2 linked regions of the Callithrix jacchus genome follow. The protein of the gene in region 1 binds, or shares a complex with, the protein of each later gene. Links are inferred from orthologs where the notes say so. Each region holds a gene or a part of one and is shown in the gene's direction. Other genes may lie near its edges.

Region 1 (4,523 bases):
TCAATTCTATTTGAAGCTTCTAATTCACAATTTGAAAATATGCTCTACCCTCTGAGTAGCTTTTTTTTTTAAATTGCATTTTAGGTTTTGGGGTACATGTGAAGAACATGCAAGATAGTTGCATAGGTACACACGTGGCAGTGTGATTTGCTGCCTTCCTCCCCTTCACCTATATCTGGCATTTCTCCCCATGCTTCTCCCCAACTCCCTACCCCTCCTGCTGTCCCTCCCCTATCATCTTAATTCTGTACATCTGACTGCCAGAAATGTGAGAGAATAAATCTCTGTGTTTCAAGGCACCCAGTTTGTAATCACGTGTTAGAGCAGCCCTAGGAAACTGTTGCAGAGGCCAAGAAAAGTGCAAAATCAAGCAAACCCATGGTGTATTCCTTCCAGTGGTCTACTGCTGCATAACAATCCCAAAACAGTGGCTTAGAACAATAACAATCGTTTATTTTGCTGACACATTTGGCTGTCAACTGGGCTTAGCTAGGCATACCTCACTCAGGGTCTCTCAGTGGTGGTAACCGGATGGCTGCTGGAGCTGGGGCCACCTTGAAGGTGTCATCCCTCACATGTCTGGTACCTGGACTGGTAAGACTCAAACAGCCAAGGGCTGGGGCAGCTGGGGACCCTTAGTCATCTCTTCCCCACTCTATGTGGTTCCCAGATGATCTTTCTTTATGGCAGTTGCATTCTCTTATAGAAGCTGCCACAAAGATACGCCCAGCCTTATGTTATTAAAAGTAAAGGTATTGGTAGGGCGCGGTGGCTCACGCATCTAATCCCAGCGCTTTGGGAGGCTGAGGTGGGCAGATCACGAGGTCAAAAGATCGAGAGCATCCTGGCTAATATGGTAAACCCTGTCTCTACTAAAAATACTACAAAAAAAAAAAAAAAAAAATTAGCCGGGCGTGCCTGTAGTCCCAGCTACTGGGGAGGCTGAGGCAGGAGAATCACTTGAACCTGAGAGGCGGAGGTTGCAGTGAGCTGAGATCGCGCCACTGCACTCCAGCCTGGGTAAGAGGGCAAGACTCCGTCTCCAAAAAAAAAGAAAAAGAAAATAATAATAATACAAATACAAAATTAGCCAGGCGACGTGGCGCATGCCTGTAATACAAGCTACTCGGGAGGCTGAGGCGGGAGAATAGCTTGAACCCGGGAAGCAGAGGCTGCGGTGAGCGGAGATCGCGCCATTGCACTCCAGCCTGGGCAACAAGAGCGAAACTCCATCTTAAAAAAAAAAAAAAAAAGTAAACATATTGCAGTCATTTTAACACTGCACCCAGCTGATGGCCAAGTGCAAGGGTCTACTCTCTCCATCCCGAATCCAGCAGGGGGCGGAATGGACATAAGGTAAATAATTTCTGGAGATACTTTCCTGCATCCCACCCGATGCCGCCCGGCCTCCCGTCAACCAGTGCGCAAGTGCGAGGAGGCGGTGCCCAGCGCTCCACCGCCCCGCCCTCCGCAGAGTCGAGGACGTCACTGAGCAGCGACGCGCACTTTTAGGACGCGTTTGCGACCCGCCTTCCGGAAGGAGTCCTCAGCGGCTAACTATGGCGACCGCCACGGAGCAGTGGGTGCTGGTGGAGATGGTACAGGCGCTCTACGAGGTGGGCTCCGCGCTATGAGCGCCCCGCGACTACACCTGGGCCTGGGGAGGTTGGGACGGCGCGTGTGGATTTATGGCCTGAGACCTCAGCGGGACTGGCTTGATCACGCCAAGACTCGGCGTCTCTTGCTGGAAGGAGTGCCGTGATCTTCCAGTCCCAGCGGCTCAGTATTAGGGAGGAACGGGCCGGGGCTGAGACCGAGGGTCTCGGTTTGAGTTCTTATGCTCCGGGTCCCCTCGAGGCTCGGGAAAGGAACACGTCTAAGAGGACGCGGGAGCCAGGTCTGCCAAAACCAGACGTTCGATAAAACGGAGTGGTGAAAATGAGTGAAAAACCTTCCTCTGGGAAGGTCCTAAGGCGGTCAGTTCCTTGGTACTATGAACAGTTAATTGGGGAATATAATTGTAATAAATTGGAGTTTGGTTTTGTCGAAAATAAACCAATTTATTTAGGATTTGTAAATAAATTGCCATTCTTCCATGAACATTAGTTTTCTGTCTTACAAAGTTACAATGATTTTAGTAGATTTTTATTTTTATTCTATTTATTTATTGAGATGGAGTTTCACTCTTGTCCAAGCTAGAGTACAATGGCGCAATCTCAGCTCACCACAACCTCTGCCTCCCGGGTTCAAGCGATTCCTGCCTCAGTCTACCAAGTAGCTGGGATTAGAGGCATGTGCCACCACGCCTGGCTAATTTTGTATTTTTAGTAGAGATGGGGTTTCTTCATGTTGGTCAGACTGGTCTTAGACTCTTGACCTCAGGTGATCCGCCTGCCTCAGCCTCCCAAATTGCCGGGATTGGTCACCGCGCCCTGCTGTAGATTTTTAAAGGAAGAATAGTTAAGAGTTTTTTTGGAAGGCTAGTTATTTCAGATACATAAGATAATATGAAACCAGAATGTCAGTCTTAGTATTCATTCATTTATAAGATTCCCCACGCTGTTCCTCAGAGCTTTCCGAATCTTCTCTGAGCTATTCATTAGGCACTTATTTTTATTTTTTTTTTTTGGATAGGGTTTCACTCTGTTGCCCAGGGTGGAGTGCAGTGGCGCAATAATCTCACTGCTGCTTTGACCTCCCAGACTCAAGCGATCCTCCCACCTTAGACTCCCCAGTAGCTGGGACCACATACCACCACACCCAGTTAATCTTTTTTTTTTTTGTAGAGACGGTGGTCTTACTATGTTGCCCAGGCCGGTCTTGAACTCCTGGCCTCAAGCAGCCCTCCTGCTTCAGCCTCCCAAAATGCTGGAATTACAGGCATAAGCCACAATGTCCAGCTGGAACTGAATTTTTAAAACTTAAATAGCCACTTGTAACTAGTGACTGTCCATGTTGGACCACACAGATCTAGATGCAAGGGATAGTGCAGTGAACAAACAGGCACAAGTCCCTGTGCTTACAGAGCTTACATTTATTTCATGTGAATTTCACATTACTTTTGATGACTTAATATCACAAAAATTTATCACTGTCTACTGGCAGGGGTAATGATGGTGTTTCCATTGCAAGACGTATTGGGAATTTTATCTTGAAACGTATCAGAGGGAGCAGATGTGGCTCTCTCTTATCCTCAAATATTAAGTGATGTCCAGTATTAGGTTAGAGTGACCTAAAATGAACGACTAAAATTGAATGATCTTTTTTTATATATGTTTTTAAGAAATGGATTTTCTATTAAACGTTGTTCCCTTTTTGAAGACTGAAGTAGTGTAACTTCATATTTCAAAATTGTCCAGCAGGGAGACTTGGGAGAACTCCTGTATGTAACATTTCCTGGGGAGAAAAAGAAGTGGTGTTTGTGATTTTTATTAATTCACTGGTCAGATAGTTTCTCAAATTTTCTTAGGGAGATTTCTTTGTGGAGTGGGCTCTAACTAGTGGCTTGGGCAGATGTTTGCCTGCTAGAATCCAACTATTTAGAAAACTAAAAGGGTATTTAGAAAACTAAAAGGGTATTTAGATTTATTCATAAATGAATTGTATTCAGGGGGATCAGCAAATTTTAAAACTCATCCTAAAGAGAAACTTCTTATTCCCAATTTTTATGCACATTGAACGTAGAATTTGAGTAGTCTTTTATGGTGCCCCCAAAAAAGAAATAAGCACTGAAATTAAATAATCTGGTAGTTTATATTGTTTTAAATATTGAGATTCTGTGTTAGATTTTTTTTTTTTTTAGTTTTAATTTTTATTCCCAAAGAAGTTTTGAAAGCCAAAAATATTAGGGGTTTTTCATGTGAAGGAGAAATTGCCTGCCATTAGAAATGGGGAAAGGAATAAATAGAAATTAATGGAGCTTTGAAAGTAAGTAGTAAGAATTAATAGGCTAAACATCATGAGGGGCAGTATATGCAGGTGTGGTAAATTTTATATGCAGATTTTAGAAATGTATGTTTCATTTCTTATTTGTTTTTAACTCACTCTTAGGCTCCTGCTTACCATCTTATTTTGGAAGGGATTCTGATACTCTGGATAATCAGACTTCTTTTCTCTAAGACTTACAAATTACAAGAACGATCTGATCTTACAGTCAAGGTAAAAAATTAAATCTCTGTTTCATTATTGGGTATAGGATTATAGTTGCTATGTCTTTCCAGAAAGGATTTGTGGTGGCTCAACTATGTGTGTTAAAACATTTTCTGTAATGTAAGGAAATCAAGGGGAGTGAAATATTAGGGTAGGCAAAATATGGGGAAATCTAGAAATAAAGTCAGTACCCAAATGCAGAGCATATTATGGTCTTGGATACTTTGCTAGGAGTAAACAGCAGTCTTGGAAATAGATGGTTAGAGGGAAGCATGAGCAGCTACTGGAGTTTGAATGTTCATATGAGGGTTGTGTGAGTTCCTGCAGAATAGCACAACTATTTCTGAAGTGTGAGAGAAAGTTTCCCCTGTGGT
Region 2 (4,255 bases), on another chromosome or scaffold:
AAGAAAAACTTCCTTAGGACATAGGCAGAGCTATTTCAGACTCGGGAGATTATTTCGATCTTGAGATGAACTCTTTTGGGGCCATTGGTCCTGGAAATATTCAAGAAGCTGCCTGTTCTGCTCTGGGCGGTTCAAATACCCACCTGCCTGGTGACCACTAAGTGCCTCTGGGGGTCCCACTCCAGCTGTGTGACAACTGTTTCCTGGTAGCCCCCTGGGGAAGGAAGGGTAGGTGGAGTCCAAGTGAAGTGCTCCCCTCCCCAGTTTTCCTGGGCTAGACTCTTCCTTCCTGTTTCACTTCAGAGTGCCATGAACTGCCATTCAGAATCGGGCTGGCATGCCATGATGACATAATCTGATCTTGCTATTCCAGCCCTGCCCTGCATAGAGTGGACTTAGAGAGAAGCTGGGGAGGGAGTGGAAGCTACCCAGACAAGGCCTCTTGGTGACATGGAGAATGGGAGTGACCCAGGAGACCTCAAGAGCCATTTAGTTCAACCTCCCACAGTAATATTAAATAGATTCCTACAATGCAACAGGTGCTTTACATACATTCTTTTGGGTTCCCACAACCTTGGAGGTGGGGTTTCACAGGTGTGAAATTGGAGATTAAGACGAGTAATTTGCCCAGGGTCACACTGCCAATAAAGGGGGGCCTACTCTATGTCGACCAGGCAGTAAAGTCTGTGCCCTTGCCTTTAGAGGATGCAGATGTGAAAACTGCAGACCAGAGCCTTTCATTCAAAACCACACAAGCTGACCTGAGACAGAAACTCAGGCTCCTTACTATTGATCAAGGAATCTATATATTACGTGGCCTCTTCTGAGGTCAGGTGCGGGGCGGCCAAAGATGTGGCCCCGTCCAGGGCAACCTGGGCCAAGCATGACTGAGAAGAAGGCAGGCTCCGTTCTGGGCCCTCCAGACCCTCACCTCGGCCAGTGTGAAAAGCGCGCTCCCAGGAGGGCCCGGCAGGGCAAAGGGCCGGGCCAGTCCGTTTCTGGAGGAGCCAATCTGGGGCCAGGGCGGAGGCAGCCAAGTGCAGTGGAAAAACCCGGCACTTGGGGTCAGAATATCTGGGTTTCGATCCAGTCTCCGACCCAGCAAAGACTTACAGCAAGTGACTTACAAGTCCGAGTCTCCTCATCTGCAAAACTGGGGCAAGGGTAAAATACCCTTGAAAGGCACAGAAGCGAAAGCTGGAATCGTTACGCACCAAAGTTCTATCATGCAATCCGTCGCGTCACGGTGCAATTTCCAACAGTGCGGCCCCGGAGAGGCCGGGAAAGGAGCCAGGAAAAACTACAACTCCCAGGAGGCATCGGGCGGGCCGGCGCGGGATGGTGATGTCACGAGGGCCGGCGCGGAGCTCTGATTTGGCCGGAGCTGCCAACGGGGAGGCTGCCGCCGCGGGTTGTTACAGCTGCTGGAGCAGCAGCGGCCTCCGCTCCCGGGAACCGTTCCCGGGCCCTAGATCTCCTGCCCCGCACGGTGAGCCCAGACGGAACCAGAGGGCCCCAGGGCTAGCGGAGGGGCGGGAGAGAAGGTGGAGGCTGCTAGGGAGGCGCCCTGGGCTGGAGAGACCGGGGCAGAGTGAGTGGGGGTAGAGGGAATGCATCAGCCGAGGGGGTGCAGCGGCTGGGGACGTGGCCAAGGAAGAAAGTACGAGCCGCAGGCCGGTGGTGGAACGTCGGCGAGGAGTGCTTCGGCTAGGGGTGGGAGGCGGGGAGGGGCTGGGCTTCGGGGATAAAGGTTTGGCTGCCTACAGAGCTGGGTGAACCCGTGGAGGTGACGGTGGGGTCCCGGACTCGACCGAGTTCCGAGTGCGAGGTCCCAGGCTGGGGAACAGAGCCGGACCCCTCCCCCCCGACCCCCCGCCGGAGGTCTTACTGAGGAAACCCTAACAACAGTGAGGACTCCGCCCCTTTGCTCCTCCTCTTCTCGGCTTAGTGCGGGTTCGCCTTAGCACAAGCTTTCCGCTCCCACCGCCCTCCCCCAGTCGGGATGGCTGGGCCAAAGTTGAGAGGTGATCGGCTGTGGTCCTGCGGCTTGCGGGGTGGGCGGAATGGAAATGGCATTGTGATGTGCTGCCACGGATTCCCCATTGGGGGTCCCCATCCAGTCCTGCATGTTTTGTGCTCCTCATTCAGAAGACAGGAGGTTTGCTGTTGTAAGGGCTGCTCTTTTCTGGGGGAGGGAATGAAAAGGGCTCACCTGGTGGCTGGCCTGGTGCACGATCAGCCTTGGCTTGAGAGTCTGGCATACTGGCTGGGCCCGCATATTTGCCTGTGGAGCCAAGGGGGTGGGGAGGGAAGGAGGGGAAAAGAGCTATCAGCAAAAAAAGTGGTTAACAGAACAGAGTTGCTGCAGGCTCTGGTTTGAGGCAGGTTATGAAACCACATCAGGGCCTGGCACTAGCAGCCACCTGCCAGCTATGGCAGCAGAACTTTTCAGCTTAGCTGCTGTAGACCGCTGCCAGCCTCTTCTCTCTGTTTCTCCTCATCTAGAGTGGGGTCAGTTGGTTGTTTTACTAATGGAAGTGATGTGTGCCCATAGTCACACGAAAGTCTCCAGTGTTTTTTGGCTGCCGGTTCTTGTCTTAGTTTATTGATCCCTTTTTTTAGAGGTCTCTGGTGGTTTTCTGCTCTCATGGCACCTAGTGTTTAGGCTTCAGGAAGAAGCATCTGAGGGTATCGGCTAGGATCTAAGTCTGGGCTTTTCCTAGGTTTGTCAAGTTTTGTTGGCTGCCCTGTGAAAGCCGGAAAGGGGTATGGAGTCTTGTGATCTGGGATTCCACAAGGCTTTTGGCACTCCAGCACAAATACTAGGAAGGGTTAGTGGGCTTTCTACACCAACAACCCGTAGGGGTGGGTAACAGAGAGGTGATGGGGTGGCAGTTTCCCAGGTCAGACTTGGGAAACTCTCCCTCTCCTTAATCAGAGGTAATTCCTTCAGATCCCTCACTTCTCAGCTACATGTTGCCCTCCCCTCTAAGGTGGAGGCTTTTGTGTAGTAGCTGTCCCAGGGGCTGCTAGAGTAACTGAAGCCCCGAAGCCCTGGGAAGGTAAACAGTCAGGGCTAGCTCTGGCTTTTTAGATACTTGGATTTCTGTGTGACTCAATTACCCAGCCTAATGGGCTGCGCTGATGGGTCCCAGGAGTGTCACTTTACCCAGAGCGCACCCCAGGCCAGCGCAGGGGTGTTTGCTTGTTGGGATGGTGTGTTGTGGGTCATGGTTTCCCTGAGATCTCTAAGTATGGAGCTGTCTGAGAAGAGGACACTTGCTCCTGTTATCCTGGAAGTAAAGAACTGACCCCTGAGGATTCAGGCTTCTGTGCAGGTTTGGCTAGGATCCTATCAGAGATAGATGGCATCTGGGACTGAGGTGTCACCGCAGGGGTGTGAGGGAGGTGGCTTTCTGGGTACTTCTAGAATATCTCCATCTGGGACTAGGAAAGATGGAGCTGTTACCATGGTGATGACCTTATGGTCTTTAGCAGGCAGGACCCTACCTCAGATGGGAGGTGAGCCAGTACACAGGCGCCATCTGTCCCCACCTTCTCCTGATCACAGGCCCCTCAGGGATCTGGGGACAGCCAAGCTCTGGACAAGGGGCAGATCATTCCCCTCCCTTCCTTCTCTACTTCCCCTGCTCACTGTGGGTTGTGGCTGCCTCCTGGTTCCTCCTGCCACAGGTCTCCTACTGTTGGTGCTGGGCAGGGGAAGGCATGGGCTAAGGTACACCTGGAAACAGGTGCTGAGGGAAACTGAGGTGAGGATGGGCAGGACAGAGAGGAAGGGGGACAGGAGGGAGGCCACAGGTTCGGGTCTGTGCCCTTGGGAGGCATATATTGTTGCAGGTTCCAGCTCTCCATGGGAGCTCTAGGTGTTGGCCACGTTCTCTGTCCTCACCCCTCTTGTGGGGAAAAGGGCCCTGGTGGTTTGGCAGCAGAGTGGGTGGCATCACAAGAGCTGGCCTGAGTGGCTGCCAAATGGAAAAAACATCTGGATGGGTTGTTTTGTGTCACCCAGAAGGGGCGCCTTCCAGATCTGGGCAGAGGTTGTCCCTAGTCTGTTGTTTTCTCATTTCTTCTCCCCCCACCGCTCCCTTTTTCTACCGAATCAGTCCTCCTAAGTTAGGGTTTGGGGAGATCCAGAATTGAAAAAACTAGAGGAGGTGAGCGGAAGCAGTGACCTCAAAATAGTTCATCCACTGCTGCCTGTACCCACAGACCCCACTTCTTTTCCCTCCTGATG

What was found. The genes of interacting proteins can lie anywhere in the genome.
Region 2: the proteins of SPTLC1 (region 1) and ORMDL3 are in contact, whole or in part, in a cryo-EM structure (PDB 7K0N), measured with the Homo sapiens proteins. The link is inferred for Callithrix jacchus from reciprocal best matches to the Homo sapiens genes SPTLC1 and ORMDL3. Residues at the interface, in NP_006406.1 of Homo sapiens: Ala16, Leu17, Ala20, Pro21, Tyr23, His24, Leu27, Glu28, Leu31, Ile32, Trp34, Ile35, Leu38, Leu39, Ser41, Lys42, Thr43, Tyr44, Lys45, Leu46, Gln47; in NP_001307730.1 of Homo sapiens: Gly92, Val93, Gln94, Phe95, Thr96, Ala97, Lys100, Thr103, Ile104, Ile107, Tyr110, Phe111, Ser114, Tyr119, Gln121, Phe124, Thr128, Leu131, Met132, Leu139, Pro140, His143.

The regions. Positions count from the first base shown.
Region 1 is NC_133502.1:96,796,682-96,801,204, reverse strand, and holds the start of SPTLC1 (serine palmitoyltransferase 1), read left to right. Parts: upstream 1-1,535; 5' UTR 1,536-1,559; coding exon 1,560-1,616; intron 1,617-4,050; coding exon 4,051-4,158; intron 4,159-4,523. UniProt on the Homo sapiens protein: Component of the serine palmitoyltransferase multisubunit enzyme (SPT) that catalyzes the initial and rate-limiting step in sphingolipid biosynthesis by condensing L-serine and activated acyl-CoA (most commonly palmitoyl-CoA) to form long-chain bases.
Region 2 is NC_133506.1:120,349,624-120,353,878, reverse strand, and holds the start of ORMDL3 (ORM1-like protein 3), read left to right. Parts: upstream 1-1,371; 5' UTR 1,372-1,489; intron 1,490-1,995; exon of another isoform or gene 1,996-2,168; intron 2,169-4,255. UniProt on the Homo sapiens protein: Plays an essential role in the homeostatic regulation of sphingolipid de novo biosynthesis by modulating the activity of the serine palmitoyltransferase (SPT) in response to ceramide levels.